Cricetulus griseus: one gene and its partner. The protein of the gene in region 1 interacts with the protein of each later gene in a biochemical or structural test. Links are inferred from orthologs where the notes say so. Each region holds a gene or a part of one and is shown on either strand. Other genes may lie near its edges. The genes, in order: Stat2 and Ifnar1.

What was found.
Region 2: the proteins of Stat2 (region 1) and Ifnar1 form a complex in vitro, tested with the Homo sapiens proteins (2 studies listed by BioGRID). The link is inferred for Cricetulus griseus from reciprocal best matches to the Homo sapiens genes STAT2 and IFNAR1.

The regions. Positions count from the first base shown.
Region 1 is NW_023276806.1:129,588,678-129,597,611, forward strand, and holds part of Stat2 (signal transducer and activator of transcription 2), read right to left. Parts: intron 7,969-8,934; coding exon 7,810-7,968; intron 7,702-7,809; coding exon 7,609-7,701; intron 7,223-7,608; coding exon 7,163-7,222; intron 6,318-7,162; coding exon 6,300-6,317; intron 5,736-6,299; coding exon 5,642-5,735; intron 5,528-5,641; coding exon 5,480-5,527; intron 5,412-5,479; coding exon 5,328-5,411; intron 5,162-5,327; coding exon 5,063-5,161; intron 4,967-5,062; coding exon 4,831-4,966; intron 4,700-4,830; coding exon 4,647-4,699; intron 4,530-4,646; coding exon 4,435-4,529; intron 3,561-4,434; coding exon 3,424-3,560; intron 2,675-3,423; coding exon 2,492-2,674; intron 2,302-2,491; coding exon 2,244-2,301; intron 1,469-2,243; coding exon 1,182-1,468; intron 939-1,181; coding exon 793-938; 3' UTR 1-792. UniProt on the Homo sapiens protein: Signal transducer and activator of transcription that mediates signaling by type I interferons (IFN-alpha and IFN-beta).
Region 2 is NC_048597.1:6,299,722-6,309,583, forward strand, and holds the start of Ifnar1 (interferon alpha/beta receptor 1), read right to left. Parts: upstream 4,615-9,862; 5' UTR 4,533-4,614; coding exon 4,460-4,532; intron 1-4,459. UniProt on the Homo sapiens protein: Together with IFNAR2, forms the heterodimeric receptor for type I interferons (including interferons alpha, beta, epsilon, omega and kappa).

The DNA of each region.
Region 1 (8,934 bases):
TCTACCCAGTACTATAAGAAGAAATTCCCAGTGCTCAGAAACCTGAGCACCCAGACCTACAGGAGTGATTCTCTCAAGAACTGGAGAAGTAGAGGCGAGACTGCCTAAGGCAGCAAAGCTTCACATCTTCCTAAGGGACCAGGATTGTTGTGTAGGGGAGGGGTGAGCAGGGCTGGAGACCACTAGGAGGAATACTATTTGCCATGCTCATCCTTAGGATAGAGTTCACATGGTGGGCTGAAGCAGACAGCTCTCAGCCTCTACAGGGAAAAAGGAGATTTAGAATTGGAGTCGGGAGCCAAGGGAGAAGAAAAGGAAAGGGTTAGTTAGACCTGAAGTGGCCATTAGACAGGACTAAAGCACTTGGGGTATGGCTCAGTGCCAGTGTAGTTGCCTGCCACAGTTGAGAGTCCGGCTTTGACAAGACCCAGGATAGCAAAGGGGAGGGAGGACAAAACTCCATCCATCTCTGTGCTCCCCACAAAGGTCACACCAATTTGGCCTTACCAATCATCAAACCATTAAAATCTTACCATACTGCAAAGATAGCACTGCCTTGGGTATCCTCTAACAATCTCTCAAATGTCCTAGCTTGCCCTCAGGACCCCTGCATCTCCCAGCATGGCAGGCAGACTCAGGATCCTAGCAAGACTACGGCCAGTGTCTGTTCTGATTCTTTGGTGCACCTTCAAAGCCATCTTACACTTTTACCTCTTACTCCAAAGTCCATGGCTAACCCAGCTCAGAAGGCCTCATCTCCCACTGTAGGGAGGACAGAGGGGAACGAGACTTCTAGTCATCAGAAGGAATCAAGGGTCCATCCACATCAAAATGGCTCTGGCAGGACATGTAGGCTTCGTCTCCGATGTTCTGATCAGCCAACAGCGGGTCACCGTGGGGCATGATGTCATCAATATTTATGATGTTGTTTCTGAAAACTAGAGCACACAGAGAAAATGTCAGTCCCTGATCCAAGTTGGATGCTCCCAACAAGAAGAACAGGCACAGTCTGGGGCTGAAGGGGATCTTGGGAAATGGAAGAACAGAGTGGGACACAGGAGGTGCTTGCACTTCCTAACATTGGGAAATTAACCAGGGCCTTGGAGCTCACCTTTTAGTAATGGGTCAGAGTGAGGTAGCTAAAGGTGTCCCCTCTTCCCCAGCCTGGCCTTGTCACTTACTTTCCATATCCACCATGTTCAGCTGCTGCAGATCTTGAGGTAAATCTGACTCTGGTGACAGCTGCGAGGCAGGTCCTGGGTCTGCCTCTGGCATTGTTTGTGGGTCCACACACGGTGTGGGGTTTAGTTCCAGCTTTGTCCCTAGATCCAGCCCTTCCTCCAGCAGCGTCTGTAAATCCAGGTCTTGTTCTAATGTCATGGCTGACATGAGATCTTCATTTAGCTCTAACGGATCCAGTTCTGCTTCCGGTTTAAGTTCTGGAGGTTGCTGCAGCTCGTCCACCTGTCTAGGTAGACAAGGACAGACAATGGGACAAGACTCAGTGAGTGTGATAAAGTGAGAAAAGGCAGAGCAAGCAGGGGCTGTGTTTCTAGTCTAAGAAGGAGATGGGGATCTAGGTGTGTTTGCACATAGCTTTACCCAGCACTCAGGAGGCAGAGGCAGGTGGATCTCTGTGAGTTTGAGACCAGTCTGGTGTACATGGTGAGACCCTGCCTGGGGTGGGGGACAGATGCAAAGGTCTAAAGGCCTTGGGCTTTATAATCAAGATTTTAAGATTTTTGTTATTCTGTCTTCCTTTGAGACAGGGTCTCATATAGCCCAGGCTGGCCCTTCAAATCTCTACATAGCCAAGGCTAGACTGGAACTTGTATGCCTTCTGCTCTCCACTCCCCAAATGCTGGAATCATAGGCACATACTGCCACCACATCTGGCCTTGAAATCCCTCTCACTTACTAGCTAGATGAATCACATATTATCAGTTACATTTTTTTAAGTTTATTTTTACTTTCTGTGTGCAAGCATTTTGCCTTTGCATATGGCTGTGCCCGAGTTTGATATGATACCATTACTGTTACCCACTCCTGTGGGTCCTCATAAGGGCTGAACAACAAAAGGTTTTAGAAAATCCAGTACTATGACTGGCATCAGGAAGAGTCCCATTACGTGAGTGGTTTTGATCATGGCCACCAGGGAGATGGCAGGAAACCATGAGAGAAGAGAGAAGTTGGTGCCTGGGGTCAGCAGGCAGAGGATTTTGAGTGAAGGGTTTGTATCTCACCTGTTGGAGACCACAATTAGCCTGTGTTTCAGGTATTTCCTCCGCTCTTCAAAATTAACTGTGGGGACACAGACAGGAGGTGGGAGAGATCAATGTGTTGGACACGTGACAGTCCTGACAAATGTACCTCCCTATTAAGGGGCATGCGCCATGGACAAATGTGCCCTGTGTGTGAAAGGAGGGAGATGGACTTTCCAATATCTGAGGAACCTTTCACTCTAGGAAGGATGTATGCCAATGATCCCAACCTTTTTCCTGGTAGTAGCACCCAAAAGCTTCATCCCGAGGGATTCTGGGATAGAGGAAGCGTAAAGGGTTCTCAGGGATGTTCTCGTCGGCAAGAACCTGGTAGTGGCGGATTATTTCTGTCAGTGGGAGTGACTGTAGCACTTCCTTGGTGTAGGGCTGCACGGAGTAGATGATCACTTTATCTGAAAAATAGTGGGCTTGAGGTGAGGCTAGCCCCAGAGTTCTCTGCCTTAGCTGCCCAACCTCAAAGCTACTATGGGATCCAGGCAGAGTCCCAGAAACCAAGAGCAGACAGAGGGTCAGAGAGGGTGGGGTGGGGTGCCTGGCAGAGAGTAGAGACTGCAGGAACAGTTGGGGGTGTGTGATGGGTGTATGTGATGGGGTGTGTGTGTGTGACTGTGTATGTGTGTGTGTAATGAGGTGTGTGGTGGGTGTATGTGATGGTGTGTGTGTGTGTGTGTGTATGTGTGTGTAATGGGGTGTGTGATGGGTGTATGTGATGGGTGTATGTGATGGGGTGTGTGGGTGTGTAATGGTGTGTGTGTGTGTGTGTGTGTGTGTGTGTGTGTGTGTGTGTAATGGGGTGTGTGATGGGTGTATGTGATGGGTGTATGTGATGGGGTGTGTGGTGTGTGTATGTGTGGTGTGTGTGTGTGTGTGTGTATGTGTGTGTAATGGGGTGTGTGATGGGTGTATGTGATGGGTGTATGTGATGGGGTGTGTGGGTGTGTAATGGTGTGTGTGTGTGTGTGTGTGTGTGTGTGTGTGTGTGTGTGTAATGGGGTGTGTGATGGGTGTATGTGATGGGTGTATGTGATGGGGTGTGTGGGTGTGTAATGGTGTGTGTGTGTGTGTGTGTGTGTGTGTGTGTGTGTGTGTGTCATTGGGGTATGTGACAGCGTGTGTGAAGAGGTATAATGGGGGCACCAACCATCATCCTGGTGCTCCACCCAAGAGCAAGTGATGCCCCCCTCAGAAGTTTCACTGAAGCGCAGAAGAAAGGTCCCAGAGACCATCTTCTTCAGCAGTCGGCGTTCCTGGTTCCGGCTCACAAAGCCCATGATGTGCCTGGAGCAGACAAAGTCACTGTAAGGTCCCAAGGTCCCTGTCCCATTCGTGTGGAAGTGGGAACTGGGATTTGGCCCTATTTCTGTCACTTTGACAATGCTCCTACCCCCAAGATTTGAAGGGGTGTGAGCATTCAATGAGGATACAATAAAGAAAGGTATGAGGTAAGGAGTGACAGACGGCTCAGCAGCTAAAGGTACCTGCCACCAAGCCTGACCACCTGAGTCCAGTCTCTGATCTACACACACACACACACACACACACACACACACACACACACTAACTACACACACACACACTACGTAAAAACACAATAGAGCTGGACATAGCATCTAATATTTTTAATCCCAGCTCTCTGGAGGCAGAGGCAAGTGGATTTGTGAGTTCAAGGCCAATGTGGTTTACATAGCAAGTTGCAGGACAGCCAGCCAGAGCTACATAATAGAGACTCTCTCTCTCTCTCTCTCTCTCTCTCTCTCTCTCTCTCTCTCTCTCTCTCTGTGTGTGTGTGTGTGTGTGTGTGTGTGTGTGTGTGTAAAAAGGCCAGGTGATGGACAGTTGCCCAAGCCTGAGTCTATTCCCAATTCTGTCCATTAAGCCAGTTCCTAATTTCTCCAAGAATGGGTTTCCTCATGAGACTGAAGGTGGAACTATTCACCACACTGGTGACACAATGAACAGAGCCTGCAGGGACTGAGCACCCTGCAGGCTCTGCAACACTGCAGACACTTGACAAATACAGGCCATAATTACTATTACTAACGGGACCTCCCGTCAGTTTTTGGTCTCTCCCGTGCCATAAGGGGGCGCACGAAGTCCACTCCTGAGCCCAGTGAGAGAAAACCCTGGATAGGAGGGCTGAGAAAGGCCTTACCCATCATTCCAGAGCTCCTTCAGGTGGTCATGGACCAGCTCCAGAATTTTGTCCAGCCACGTCCAGAAAGGGATCTTGCCAGGGGGGCTGTCTCTCTGAAGGAGGAATGGAAAGGCAGGAAGAGATTGGAGCTACCCTTAGTGTAGGGAAGGGTCGAGGCAGGGCCAGAATTGGGACTGGGGACTAGAGAGACACAGGCTGCTGGGAATTACCTTACTGAAGTCCACCCAGGACAACAATGCATCCTCCATCCTGCAGTTCTTTCCTGTAGGACAGGGTCACAGATGGTTTGGATGAATGAAGGAGGCCATGGGGGCCAGGCAGAGGGCCTGGGATAGGACACAGGGTAGGGGCAAGCTAGGCTAGGGAAAGAGTGAGAACAAAGAAAAACTGTACCAAAGAGCTTGTTCTTCAGCATGCCCAGCTGCTCAGAATTGAGGCCTCGGCCAACATACGAGGAGAATTGCCAACTGAGAACAGGCCCCAGCAAGCTCCAGGGGGCTTTAGGAGCATGGCAGAAGAATTTGGGGTTCTGTGGGGGAGAGGGAGGTGAGATGGCTCAAAAGCAGCCCTTCCCGCCATGCCTTCACTCCTCTCTGCTCCTCACCCATTCACCTCATCCTCCTACCTGGGGGGTTGGGCTGAGCATGTTGAACCAGAGAACTGAGGCCCAGGCAATGGAGAGCTGGTTCATGTTAGAAATGATCACCACAGGGAGCGTGTCCGTCTGGGAAACAGACAGAAGTCATGGTGGTGGCAGACGTCTGCCTTGGGGCCTGGATGACACCTCACTCTGGGAGACCTTGGGACACTTCCGTTGGTGTCTGTGCGGTGCCCCCTGTGTGTTTCTTCTAAATGTGCTGCCTCCTCCTTCCCTGCTTCCCCTCACTCACCTGCAGCTCCATCTTCAGACCTTGGTACACGTATTGCACCACAAAGCTGATGACATGTAACTCCTCCATTACGGCCAGCGGCCCCTGGAGAGTCACAGTGATTAGAGGGCTCCTTGGTCAGTCGAGGCTCTGGAGAGTCCCCCCAGCCTTACCTTATTGGTGCCCTTTCCTGTCCCCACAGAACGTTGCTCCACCAGCGTCTGTGAACGGAGGGAAATACAATGCCAGGGAGGGGACCCAAAGGCCAAGACCTGGAAATATTCCTCCAACCCTGGTCCTTCGAATTAGTGGCCAATTCTATTAACCCTTCTTACCAAGAAGCCAAAGTCCCAAACTAAACCTTGTCTCTGGCCCTCCTCAGGGGTCAAGGTTTTTTGGTTTGAGGTCAGAATGTTGAATTTCCGGAAGCTGTTCCAGGGAAAAGATATACGGAGACAAAGAGCAAGTTAGTGTCTGTCTGTCTGTCTCTGTAGCCCAGGCTGGCCTTGTATTCTCAGTGATCCTCTTGCCCCAGACTCCTAAGTACTGAAGTTTCAGGTGTATCCCACTATGCCATACTCAGAGTTAGTTTTAAGAATCAGCAGGAAAGGGCCAGTGAGATGGCTCAACAGGCAGAGAGGTTGTGGCCAAGCCTGATTACTTGAGTTCAAACCCCAAGACCCACATGGTGGGAGGAAAGAGCAGACTCCCACTAGTTGTCCTCTGATCTATACATATTTCCATATTTTTCTTTCTTGATCTTGGGCATGTACACACACACACACACACACACACACACACACACACACACTAGCTCTTTCTGTAACTAAAATCCAAATAAAAAAACAAAAATCCCACTTCATTTCAGACTTCCTCTTCTCCTGTTGTCCATGCCCCACCCACATCCCCTTCCTTCCGTGGACCCCACCGGTGTTGCCAACCGTGGTAGTGCAGGCCATGTATGCAGAGTGCATGTGCTTATCAGACACCTACCCTGGTAACTCTGAATTCCTGAAAAGAAAGAAAAAAGACAATCACTGGTCCTGTGGGGGACAGGGAGATGGCTCAGAAGCACCCCGTCCCACCAAGCCTCCACTCAGGAGGTAAAAGTGGATAGGAATTTGGTCTTGGTAGTCAGGACAGGTTCTAGAGTTCACTGGCCACATGGCCTGTCAGACGAGACACGGTATTTCTGAGTTCATGTCCTTATTTGTCACTAATACCCACCTGGTGGCTGTGTTAGTAAAACGAGCCTGAGACACGCTGCATGGCAGCGAGTGTGTGCTTGGTGAGAGGGGGGTGGGCTTTGCTGCTGTTGTTTAGTTTTTGTGTGTGTGGTTTTTTTGTTGTTGTTGTTGTTGTTGTTTAAAGATTTTATTCATTTATTATGTATACGGTCTTGTGCCTGCATGCCAGCAGAGGGCACCAGATCTCATAACAGATGGTTGTCAGCCGGGAATTGAACTCAGGACCTCTGGAAGAACAGTCAGTGCTCTTAACCTCTGAGCCATCTCTCCAACCCCGTGTGTGTGGTTTTTGTTGTTTTATTTTTCTTTTGTTTTTGTTTTTTGTTTTTGTTTTTGTTTTTTTTTTTTGAGACAGGGTTTCTCTGTGTAGCCCTGGCTGCCCTGGAACTCACGCTATACACCAGGCTGGCCTCAAACTCACAGAGATCTCCCTACCTCTGCCTCCCTCCCCCCATTAAAGGGGTGCACTACAACTCCTGGCTTCACTTCTGTAAGGTAGAATGGCACGGACAGGAGGCAGTCTGAGGGTCCAGCTGTGCAGCGACTACCGCTGGCACCAGTCCATCCCCACTGGCCATCTTAGTCACATCCTTCAGCCGCTCAACTTACCTGTCAATGGAGACCTCTGCTTTGAGTGACTCGTTGCCCTCCTGGAGTCTCACCAGCAGTCTGGGGGGAAAGGAGATGGGTTGGATATAGTGGTCAATCTTAAATTTGTTGTTGTTTGTTTTCGAGACAGGGTTTCTCTGTATAACAGTCCTGGCTGCCCTGGAACTAGCGCTGGAGACCAGGCTGGCCTCAAACTCACAGAGATCCTGCCTCTGCCTCCCGAGTGCTGGGATTAAAGTCGTGCACCACCACTGCCTAGTTCTCAAATTCTTGATAAGGTCAGATGTGTAGAAAAAACTGTGTGTGTGGGGGGGTGGGGGACTAGAAGGGGAAGGTAGACTGGAGGGGGAAGAAGAAATTTCCATCAGCTAAAGAATCTGCAAAGTCAGAAAAGGTACAATGGCAGAGTAGGAGAAAACAAGGCAGGGGTTAGAAAATCAAGCAACCTTGTTCGGACAGTGAACTTGCTCCCAGTCTTCAGGATGAGGGGTCGATGAAGGGTTTGGGGCATGCAGGGCTGGGTTTCTACCACAAAGGACCTAAGGAAGAGGCATGGAGAGAAGATAACAGTTCAGTGTCTGTAACAACCGGAACCCCACGTTTCTTCCTTGTTCCTCCCACCACAGACCCCTCCCAGGCCACCAGACCTTTGGAGCAGGCGTTGTAGTAACTCTGTGACTTGGGCATTTTGCAGGTCCACCCCTTTGCTGAACATGTCCCCGTCATACTTAAGCATGTGGCTCATTTCCTTCAGCTGTCTCAGCAGCTGTCGAAGGTGGAACAGGAGCTTTGCTCCAGCCGTCAACCTGCATGACACAGTCCGGAGAGAGAGGATGTGTGAGTTTCACAGGGCCCCACTGAGGTTCTGGGTGCTCTCCTTTTAATAATGTGGAGGGTTGGAAACTGACTTGAGGGGCTGGGGAGATGGCTCAGGGGTTAAGAGCACTGGCTGCTCTTCCAGAGGACCCAAGTTCAGTTCCCAGCACCCACATAGCAGCTCACAGCTGTCTGTAACTCCAGTTCCAGGGGACCCAACACCCTTCCCAGGCATACATGAGGCAAAACACTAATGCACACAAAATAAAATAAAACAAAACAAAAACCTCACTCGACTAAAAAAGAACCCAGAACCAGGTATGCCACTGCCTCCTTGTTCTTCCACACTCTCAAGGTTAAGTAGGAGGGTTCGAGAGTTTAAGGCCAGCCTGGGACACATGAGACCCTGTCACAAACAAACAATGCAGGAAACATATGGCAAAGTATTCAATACAATTTTTCCCTAGTCAGAGTTTCTGTGTGTAGCCCAGGCTACCCTGGAGCTCACTCTGGAGATCCACCTGCCTCTGCCTCCCAGGTACTGGGATGAAAGACATGAGCCAATACTAACCTGATTCAACACAATTTTTACTCCAAGAGATTAAACTCAAAACTGCTTTGTTACACAAAACTGATAAAAGTTTTATTAACATGATGACACTTTATTTTGTACAGGAGGTGCGATATGTGCAGGTCAGAGTTGTGCATCGTCATTGATGGCTCCTCAGCTCTCTGAGACAGGCTCTCTCACTGAACCTGGTTCTCACCATTTTGCCTAAGAGGCTGGCCAGCAAACCCTGGGTCTCTGACTATTTCTTCCGACTTGGTGCTGGGGTTACAGGTACCTGGTATTAGGCCCAGCATTTTTTTTTTTTTCATTTGGTTTTTTCGAGACAGGATTTCTCTGTGTAACAGCCCTGGCTGTCCTGGAACTCACTATTTAGTTCGAGGCTGGC
Region 2 (9,862 bases), on another chromosome or scaffold:
CCATGTTTAGACAGCATCTTCCTCCAAAAGGAATTAAAGCACAGACCCATCTGCCGCCTCAGGCACTGGGAGGCTGGGGCAAGGGCTGCTCCAGAACCTTCAGAAACAAGTGTCTCTCCTGACCTAACACTTGCAGGGAAGTAGGTAGAAGAGTAGACCACTGAGGTAGACAATCTTCTAAGAATGAGGTAAGGTATCGTTTCCTTCTGGTGGCTGGTGGGTGTCCCTCGCTCCTATAACTTGTCTATGTAATGCCCTGCTCCCTGCATCCTTATAGTTACTGAATAACGTAGAACTTGTTTGCTCTATGGGTACAGAAACAAAAAAAAGATCATGTAACCTTTGAATAGGTATTCTTGGGTTTTGGTCACTCATATTTGTTTCAGAAGAAAGTATTTCATTTCCCTTGAAAGCAGAGTCACTCTTTTGGGCTAATGATTTAAAGTCTTTGGCACACTCCAGAGAGTTCCAAAGAGTTTAAAGTGCTGTCTAGGTGGAGACACTGACTCCTGCTAGTCATATTTCTAGAATCCTTAAAAAGACATGTTGTAACCCCCCTTTTTTTCTGTTCTTTTTCTCTTTTTAAAATTAATTTATTTTTTACATTACAATCCCAGTTCCCCCTCCTTCCTTTCCTCCTACTCCCTCCACTCTCCCTCCTCCCATCTTCTCCATGGAGAGGGTGAGGCCTCCCCTAGGAAGTCTACTAAGTCTGTCCCATCATCTCATTGATCTCGTTGAGGCAGGACCAAGGCCCCTCTCCACCCCCACACCCCTGTGTCTAGGCTGGGCAAGCTATCTCTCCATACAGAATGGGCTCCACTTAGTCAATTTGTGCATTAGAGTTAGATCTTGGACCCACTGCCAGTGGCCTCATGTATTGTCCCAGTCACACCACTGTCACCTATGTTAAGGGAGTTTAGTTTGGTCTTATGCAGATCCCCCCCCACACACACACTTTTTAAAGTTATATTTGTGTTGTGTCTGTGTGTGGGTGTGAGCAGATGAGAGCAGGTGCTGTTAGGATTTTCTGGAGGTAGAGATTGAAGTGAGCCACCTCTCCAGTCCTGATATGCTTTTTTTTTTTTAAGGTTTACTTTACGTGCATGAGTGTCTTTCCTGCATGCATGTGTGTGCACCACGTGTGCCTCATGATACGGAAGTCAGAAGAAGGTACTGAACTCCCTGGACCAGGGTTAGGGAAAGGTCCCGCTACACAACAGCACTCTTATCCACTGAGCCATCTCTCCAGCGCCTAGGCTGTAATTTTTTAAAACTATCTTTTCAGATCTGGCCCCACTGTTTTGACTTCTGTCTCAGACAACCACGTCATATCCTGACGCTTCTACTCCAGAGGCTAAGAGTATAGCTAGATCGGATGAGGAGAGACCCAGGACCCCCACCAGAGTCTTCCACCTTCAGCCTAAACACAATCTCCCCTCTTAACTCGATCCCCATCCCACTTGCTGGAATTTACAGACTGTGCGGAAAGGGCAGTGATTGGGTTTAGGAGATTAACAGAAGATCCAATAGCATCTGTCGCGGTCACAGTATTCCTTTTCAGATTTATTTTATATGTGTCAGTACTTTGTCTGCATGTACACCATGTCCCTGTCTAGCCAGAAAAGGGCATCGGTCTACCTAGAACTGGGTACTGGGACTTGAACCTGGGTCCTCTGAAAGACAAGCCAACGTTCTAAACTGCTGAGTCACCACTCTAACCCTGTTGGTAATATTGTAATTAAAATGATTGTGAGCCGGAGAGGAGGTGGAGATTTGATGAGGTACAGATAGGGGTGCTTCCAGGGTGCCATGTCGCTAACTGAAGGAGCCCCTGATGCTTCCAGGGTGCCATCATCTCTCTAACTGAAGGAGCCCCTGATGGTAAAACCATTTTGGTGCTTTGGTGACTCAGAAGTGAATGGAGATTTGGAAATGAGAGTTAACTGGACGTTGTTTCATAGATTCTGCAGTGTCAGTAACAACAGTTTATTCCCCCCTTAGCATGTAACATAACATTACTGAATTTGTGCATGTGTTTGTCTATCTGTGGGCACATTTATGTTAGAGCGAGCATGTGGAAGTCAGAAGACAGATTGCTGGAGTCGGGTCTCTCTACCAAGTGGGTTGGGGATTGAACTCAGGTCCTCAGGCTTGGGGGCAGGTACCTTTTCCTACTTAGCCATCTTGCTGGTCCAAGATATAAAATTTATATATGAGCGTTTATTTATAATTTCAGTTGCTTCCAAGCTTTAATGTTCATCTTGCTGACCACTAGGGTGTACTATTTTCTGAAATCTGATGTAAACATAGAGACATCCATCCATCCATTTATACAGCAGGATTTCATTAACTTGTTGGACAATTTTCTTGGTCTAAAGTCCTAGACTGGCCCTTACTAGGACAAAAAGAATGATTTTATTTTATTTTATTTGAGTTGTGGAGTAAGGACCAACATTACAATCTCAAGTTTAGAGTACCCATTCACTAATTTTTCAACATTATTGTCCCTTTAGGGGGAGAAGAGCATTAACAGCAAGAGGGCTAAGGAGGGCTTTAACATGTAAAAGGATAGTCAACTATTTTATTTGAAATGTTTTCCTTTAGGAAAACAGCTCTGGTTGGGTGTGGTGGTGCACACTTTTAATCCCAGTACTCTAGAGGCAGAGGTGGGTTGATCTCTGTGAGTACCAGTTCTGCCAGGGCCATCTCAAAACAACAAAACAACTAACCCATCTCTGGCTCGGGGTGGTAGCATATGCCAGTAATCCCAGCACTCAACTAGCAGAGGCAAGAGGGTTCAAGTTCAAAGCCAGCCGGGTTAGAACCTGCCTTAAAGGAAATGGCGCAAGCGTGAGAATCTGAGTTCGGGTCTCCAGCTGGGCGTGGCAGCACGTGCCAGCCATCCCGGTGTGGAGCAGACGGCAGCAGGGGGGTCCTCCGAGCTTGATGGGCGGCCAGTATATTATCCAGCTCCACGTTCAGTTAGAGATCCTGTCCCAATACGGAGGGCAGCAGCAGAGCCAGGCGCCCGACATTCGCCTCTGCCCTCCGGTTTCCTGAGCACACAGGCGGCGCACAATGAATGCGCGCTCTCTCTCTCTCTCTCTCTCTCTCTCTCTCTCTCCCTCTTTTCCTCCCTCTCCCTTCTTTCCCTCTCTCCTTTTTCCCCTCTCCCCCTTCTTCTCCTCTCCCCCTCTCTCTCTCCCTCTCTCCTCTTTTCCTCCTCTCTTCTCCTCTCTCTCTCTCTCTCTCTCTCTCTCTCTCTCTCTCTCTCTCTCTCTCTCTCTCTCTCTCTCACACACACACACACACACACACACACAATCAAAACAACAACTGCTCAGCGCGGTTAAGCCACACGGCTCTCAGTTAAGACGATCAATGCATGGTTTTTTCGATTCAGTCAGAAACTGGTGCACGATGTTAGGCAGGCTACTTAAACCTGAGTGCCTCAGTTTCCCCATCTGTGGAACGGCAGCGCTGAAAGTTTAGTTTATTACTTTAAAACACTCTGTGACAAGCGTAGCAAGAGTCCAGCAAATGCGCCTATAGAGTGAGCCTCGGTAACTGGCTCAGTTTGAGGTCAATTCTTCTGAGACACAGCCTCAGTACTGAGCACAGACGCGGTGGCCCGGTGCTACTGTTTCTCTTGCCTCAGTATCTCCGGGGCCGAGATGACAGGTGAATGTCACCACAGCGGGCTAAAATTAACTTCGGATGTCCATTTCACAGGAAAACAGGGAGGCGTTCCCTTGCAGATCGCAGTAAACACGAACGTGAGGATTTCTTTTTTGTTTTCTTTTGAGACAGGGTTTCTCTGTGTAGCTTTGGAGGCTGTCCTGGCACTCGCTCTGGAGACCAGGCTGGCCTCGAACTCACAGAGATCCACCTGCCTCTGCCTCCCCAGTGCTGGATTAAAGGCGAGCGCCACCACTGAGGACTTCTAAGAGAAAGCTCCTATAGGCCAGCTGCGCGAGGTTACAGTCCTGGGCGCTATCTGCAGGAGGGAGGGTGACACTTGGGGCGTCCGATTCCTAAGAGGAAGCCGAGCTTGCCGCGGCCTGGCTGCCTTCTGGGTCCTTAGGCCTCCAGGAAGAGGCCTTGTCTGTCGCCGTTCCCCAGCCAGCTGGCCCACTGGCTTCCCGGCTTGCTTGTCCGTGTTTGTGAGACGCTCCGGCCTCGGCCCGTTAGGGCGGCTCTCAGTGCCGGGCGAGCCGGGACGAGCTGCACCAGGCTGGGCCAGCGCGATTCTGCGGCCGTCTGCTCTCCCTCCCGCCCTCCCTCCGCCCCGAGCGAGCGTGCGAGCGTGCGAGCGTCCCCGGCTGGGGCAGGGCGCGGGCGCCGGGAGGGAGCCCGGGTCAGCCAGCGTGCGGGGACTCCGGCCACCCGCGCCCGCAGAGCGGCCCAGGCCTCCCCCTGCCCGCCGCCCGGCCCTCGGCCAGGCCCCTCGGCTCACCTGCGGCTGCGAGCAGCACCCACGGCGCCCCGGCCACCAGCACCAGGGCCGCCGAGCCCAGCAGCGCGAGCATCGTCCCCGCACGCCGGGCCCGTGGCTCACATCCCCGTCTCCTCCTGCGTCGCTGCGGCGGTCGCGGAGCAGCGCGGCCCTCCCTTCCCCGTGACGCCACGCCCCTTCCCGCGACGCCCCGCCCCTTTCCCGCGACGCCCGCCCCTCCGCGGATGCCCCGCCCCTCCGCCCCGGAGGCCCCTGGGGAGCAAGACGATTTGAAGGTCCCGGGAGATCTAGCCTTCTACTCGCGCTGACCTCCGGCCACAGCGGTCCCTGTCACGCCCCACTCCCACTTCCGTCAAGACGGGCTACCGCAGCCATCTCCAGAGAGAAACGCGGGCGCAGCCAGCGCGCCTGCGCAGATCCTCCCGGTCACATCCCGAACCCCGCCCCTCGCTTCCTGTTTTTGCCCTGGGGCGGGGTTGGTCCGCTGCCACGAGGCGTCGCCTCACGGGTGGCTGGTCCGCCTGCTTGCCCCTGGTGGGGGCATGCCCCGACCCTGGGACCCGGTGGGCACGGGCGACACAGCGTCCACTGTGTCCACTGTACGATTTTTATGCTCGACGCCTTGGTTGAAATCGCAGCGGGACCCATGGGACGGTTTGCTGTGTAGATTAGCACCGTCTGTGGGGTTTGGATTACTCAGCATTTGAATCTGATCGCTAAAATATTTTGAGGTTGGTTTTATGTGTGATTGTTATGCCTGCATGTATGTATGTGTGCCACACATACGTGCGTGCCTGGTACCCGTGAGGGCTTCTAGAACGTGCCAGATGCCCTGGCCCTGGCGTTACCCATCTTAGGTATCCGAATCCCGTCCTCTGCAAGTGCTCTTAACCACTGAGCCATCTCTCTAGCCCCTTAACTCTGTTTCATTACTACCTCCTAAAGGGACTTTAGTTTATTTGTTGTTTAATTTTTTTTAAAGCACGCTTATCTATCAACAATGATACAATATAGATTTGCTACAGTGGGGGAAAAAATCCCCATATACCCCCCCAAAAAAAACTCTTATGTTTTATATTTCTGACATGCTACTCTTTGAAACAAAGCAGTATTTCCAGGTAGTCTCAGTGCATTGAAAATACAGTATTTTAAACATACTTGCTACAAACTTTACCTCTGTAATCTGAATAGCAAAAATTCCTGTGTAAAGGATCAAGTACATTGTATTTAGTAGTATTTAGAACTACATTCTAGAAGAATGTCAATGAAAACACAAATTTACAATTCAGGTCTCACAGTAATATAAATAGCCTCTCGTGGAATCACACAGTCAATATCCATTTACGGACTTACTTTACACTGGAAATGTGTTATACTTTGGGAGCACAGACACAGAACTTACACAAAGTGTATGTGTGAGCTCCTGAGTAGGCATTTTATGTTGTAATTATCCATTCTTGTTCTTCTATAACTTGTTATACTACTTTCAAGTACATGTTCAATTATACACATGTAGCCAGAGGCTAGGATCCACATATGAAGGAGAAATCCCCGCCCCCAAGATTGGTGGCCTTGCTTCTAAGTCCATTCATGCTGTGGAATAACTGGGCTGCAGATGTATTACATTTGTTTATACTGTGGAATATTACTTAACAGTGTAAAGGTGTATTACTTTTGTTTACTCTGCATTTGTTTAATGACGTAAGGATGTGTGTTTAATTACGTAGAGACGTGTTGCAGCACTTTCACCTTGCCTGTCTAAGGCACCTGATTGATCTAATAAAAAGCTGAGGGGTCAATAGCTAGGCGGGGCTGCCAGGCAGAGGGAATAAATAGAAAGGAAGAAGAGAGGAGAGAATGAGGGAGACTCCTGGGGCCAGAAACCGGGAAGCCACTAGACAGGCAGACACAGAGCCAGCAGGAAAGCAAGGTATAAAGAAGGGTAAAAAAAGCCCAAGGCAAGCCAGGAGTAGGTGGCACATGCCTTTAATCCCAGCACTCCGGAGGCAGAGGCAGGTGAATCTCTGTGAGTTTGAGGCCAGCCTGGTCTCCAGAGCGAGTGTCAGGATAGGTTCCAAAACTACGCAGAGAAACCCTGTCTCCAAAAACAAACAATGAGTGCTCATGTCTGCTCTGGAGGAAATGGCTTGCAGCACTGCTGAGGACACTGATAATGTCTGGAAACAGTTTTGGTATTGCTACTATAAGGCAGTGCTACTGACGCTTGAATCCTATGAGGCAAGGCCAGCTTTACCTCAAGGATTACCTGGCCCTAAGGTCACTAGTATAGAGAAACCTTGCTTAGGTGATTACTTGGAAGTCATGCAAATAAGGGTTCTCATTTAGCAACAATGGTTGCAATAAAACACGCTAGGAGGAAAGGGTTTACTTGACTTATACTCCAGGGTACAGGCCATTCGTTATTGAGGGAAGGCAGTGCAAGAACTTGAAGCAGAAAGCTGGAAGGACACCACTTGCTGGTCTGCTCTCAGGCCTATACTAGGCTCGCTTTCTTACACAGCTGCGGGCCACCTGCCTATGAAGTGGTACAGAGGGCTTTGCCCTCCGACACCGATTAACAATAAGACAGTCCCACAGACATACCCAAAGGCCCATCCTATCTACACAACCCTCAAGCCGGGCTTCCTTTCAGATGACTCCAGGCTGTGTCAAGTGATCTATCAGTGATCTGTTTCAAAATCAAGCTGGGGTTTGGCAAGAGTGCGCAGAGGAAAGCATTTAACCAAGGGCAAATGACCTGGGACAGATCTCTGGGATCCTCACGGTGGAGACAGACCGACCACCACAACCTGTCCTGATTGCCCCACACTTGCAGCACTCATAGCAAACATGTAATAATAATAATAATAATAATAATAATAAAAAGATGAGAAAACATAAAAATCAAACTTCAATCCAGAGGCTAGTGCCCCAGAACTCTAACATAAAACACAAAACTGTGGATGCGTTTTGTGCTACACACAACCCTGGAGGTTCAAAAGCTCCGCCTCCAATCTCAGCCAAGCTCCCTTCCCCACATGACAGCTGGAAGTCTAAGGTGCAAAGTGACACTGTGGAGGCTTTTTGTTTCATCTTCAGTATTTGAAATGTTTTCCCAAAAAAGTAATTTCATAAATTAGTCGATGACAGTTGCTCATGGGATGGTGTAGACAACTGATATAGGCATGCAAAGAATCCCTAGTGGGGGTGATGGCAGTAACCTGAGGAGGAATGGTAGCTGGAAGAGATTGATGAAAACACAATGTGGGAACAAACATCCATATCAGTTGGGGTTCTCTGTGTGAACAGAAGGGGTAGAACAGAAACAGAAATATGTATGTATGTATGTATGTATGTATGTATGTATGTTTGTATGTATGTTTGCACTTATGGGACTATGAGAGTGGCTTAGAGGCTGTGGTCCAGGTAGTCCAACAATGGCAGTCTTGGTCTCCCAGCAGCAAGTTCAAGGATGTCTCGGCTGGTCTTCAGTACACACCAGAATCCCGGAGAAGGAGGCTCTAATGCCAGTGAAGGACTTGCCAGTGAGAGCAAGCAGGCAGAGAGAAACCTTCCTCCTCCTGTGTCCTCATATAGTTGCCACCCAGGTCAAAGGTGGATTTTCCCACCGGAAGAAGGGACTTAGGATGGGGTCTTGTTAGACCTGAGAAAAACGGTTTCTATGACTGACTATATTCAGAAGTGCACATGGGACCGGTCAGATGACTGCCTCCTCTAAATCAGAGTTTCAGAGAGCAGCCCTAATTTGAGGTCCCTTTTAGGGGCAAGGGTTACGGGTGGTAGAAAACAGCTGTTGAGATCATTGGCTGTTAGCACCTGGACGGAAGAGAGGGGGACTCAGGGCACAAGAACATGTCCAATGCACAGGCGGTCATGACAGGTGTGCAGGCATTTACTAAGGCAAAGGGGTGGGCACACACCATGGGGTCACAAATTCAGCATGGGTTGGAAACCATGGCTGACAGGATATAGTAGGCTTAGGAAACAAACTTATTCTGTAAAGTATGGAGACTTAATAGCAATTCGGCTCCTGTTTTGGTTTTATATCTTCCTGCTTCAAACAATTCAATCAAGAAAAATCCTCACAGGTGTGCCCAGCCCCTTGGGTTTTAGTTAATTCCAGAGGTAGTTGACAACCAAGAATAACTATCACAACATATTAAAACATTTAAAAATGAATGTATTGTTATTATTGTAGGTGTGCATGCCTTTTAGAATGTATACCAAATTGAGGAGTTACAGTCTCAAGAATTGACACAAGGCACGCATGAACCACACTCATGACCTCAGCTCTCAGGAGCTCAGGCAGGAGAACTGCCATGAGTTTGAAGATGGGAGCCATCTCCCAGCCCCTCAATATAGCTCTGTCAAATGTTTTCTTGTTGTTTGTGTATGCGTATGTGCGTTTGTGTTGGTCCACACATATGTGTAAGCAAGTGGACACCAGAAGTCAGCTTTAAATGTTCTTTCTCATGTGCAGTTCACACCTTGTTTTTGAGACAGGGTCTCTCACTGACCTGAAATGTAAGAATTAGGTGTAGGGGATGCTGTAGCCATGCCTGCAAAGGCGTGGTCAGGGTGATGTAGAGTGAAGGGCAGTCAGGTGGCTGGTTTCGGTTTCAGTTTCACTTTTCGGCTTGCTGTACAGACTGCTGCCCCAGCTGGCTAGGTCGTTCTGTAAGTAAGACTTTTTCCCTGATAAAATCCCTTGTATTTCTACCTGGCTCCGTATTGGTAATTTCCCACATTATTGGTTGTCAGGAGTGGGATATTGGAAACCTAGGCTCCATTTGGGACAGCCTGTGGGTCCCTGCGGCCTAGGCGGGGAAGCTCCCTCTCTCCACAGGTGCTCCCGGCTCGCAGCCGATTCGCTGCGCCACACCAGCACCGCTGCTCAGAACAGTCTGCCCAGCAGGGAGAGTTCTCAACACCTCCCACGGTTTTACCACCGTACACACGTACACACGGGACCAGCCCAGAGGCCTTCTGTAGTAGAGTTGAGTAGGCCTCGGCTTTCAGCAGGGTCTGCCGCTTCCCCTTGCCCCTGCGGCAGTAAAGCCGAATCTTTTTCAGTGGTTGCAGCCGCAGGCCATATACTCCCTAAGATAAGCACAGTCGCCTTTGTGACCTCTCTCCACTGCTGCCACCATCTTGCCTGACTGACAGCTGCCAAACGCCGCACCAATTAGCTGAACACCTGCGCCACCTGCTGGCCAAAGATAGTTACTGCGTCTGGAGTAGAAATCAGGTAAAATTATGGCAGAATATTTATCATTTGCTAAAATTGGTAATATTTTTGCTTATTATGTGAATTCAATGTTTGAGGAGGATGCTAATTTGCCAATTATTGGCCTATATGCCATAATGGGAGTTAGCTTGCTG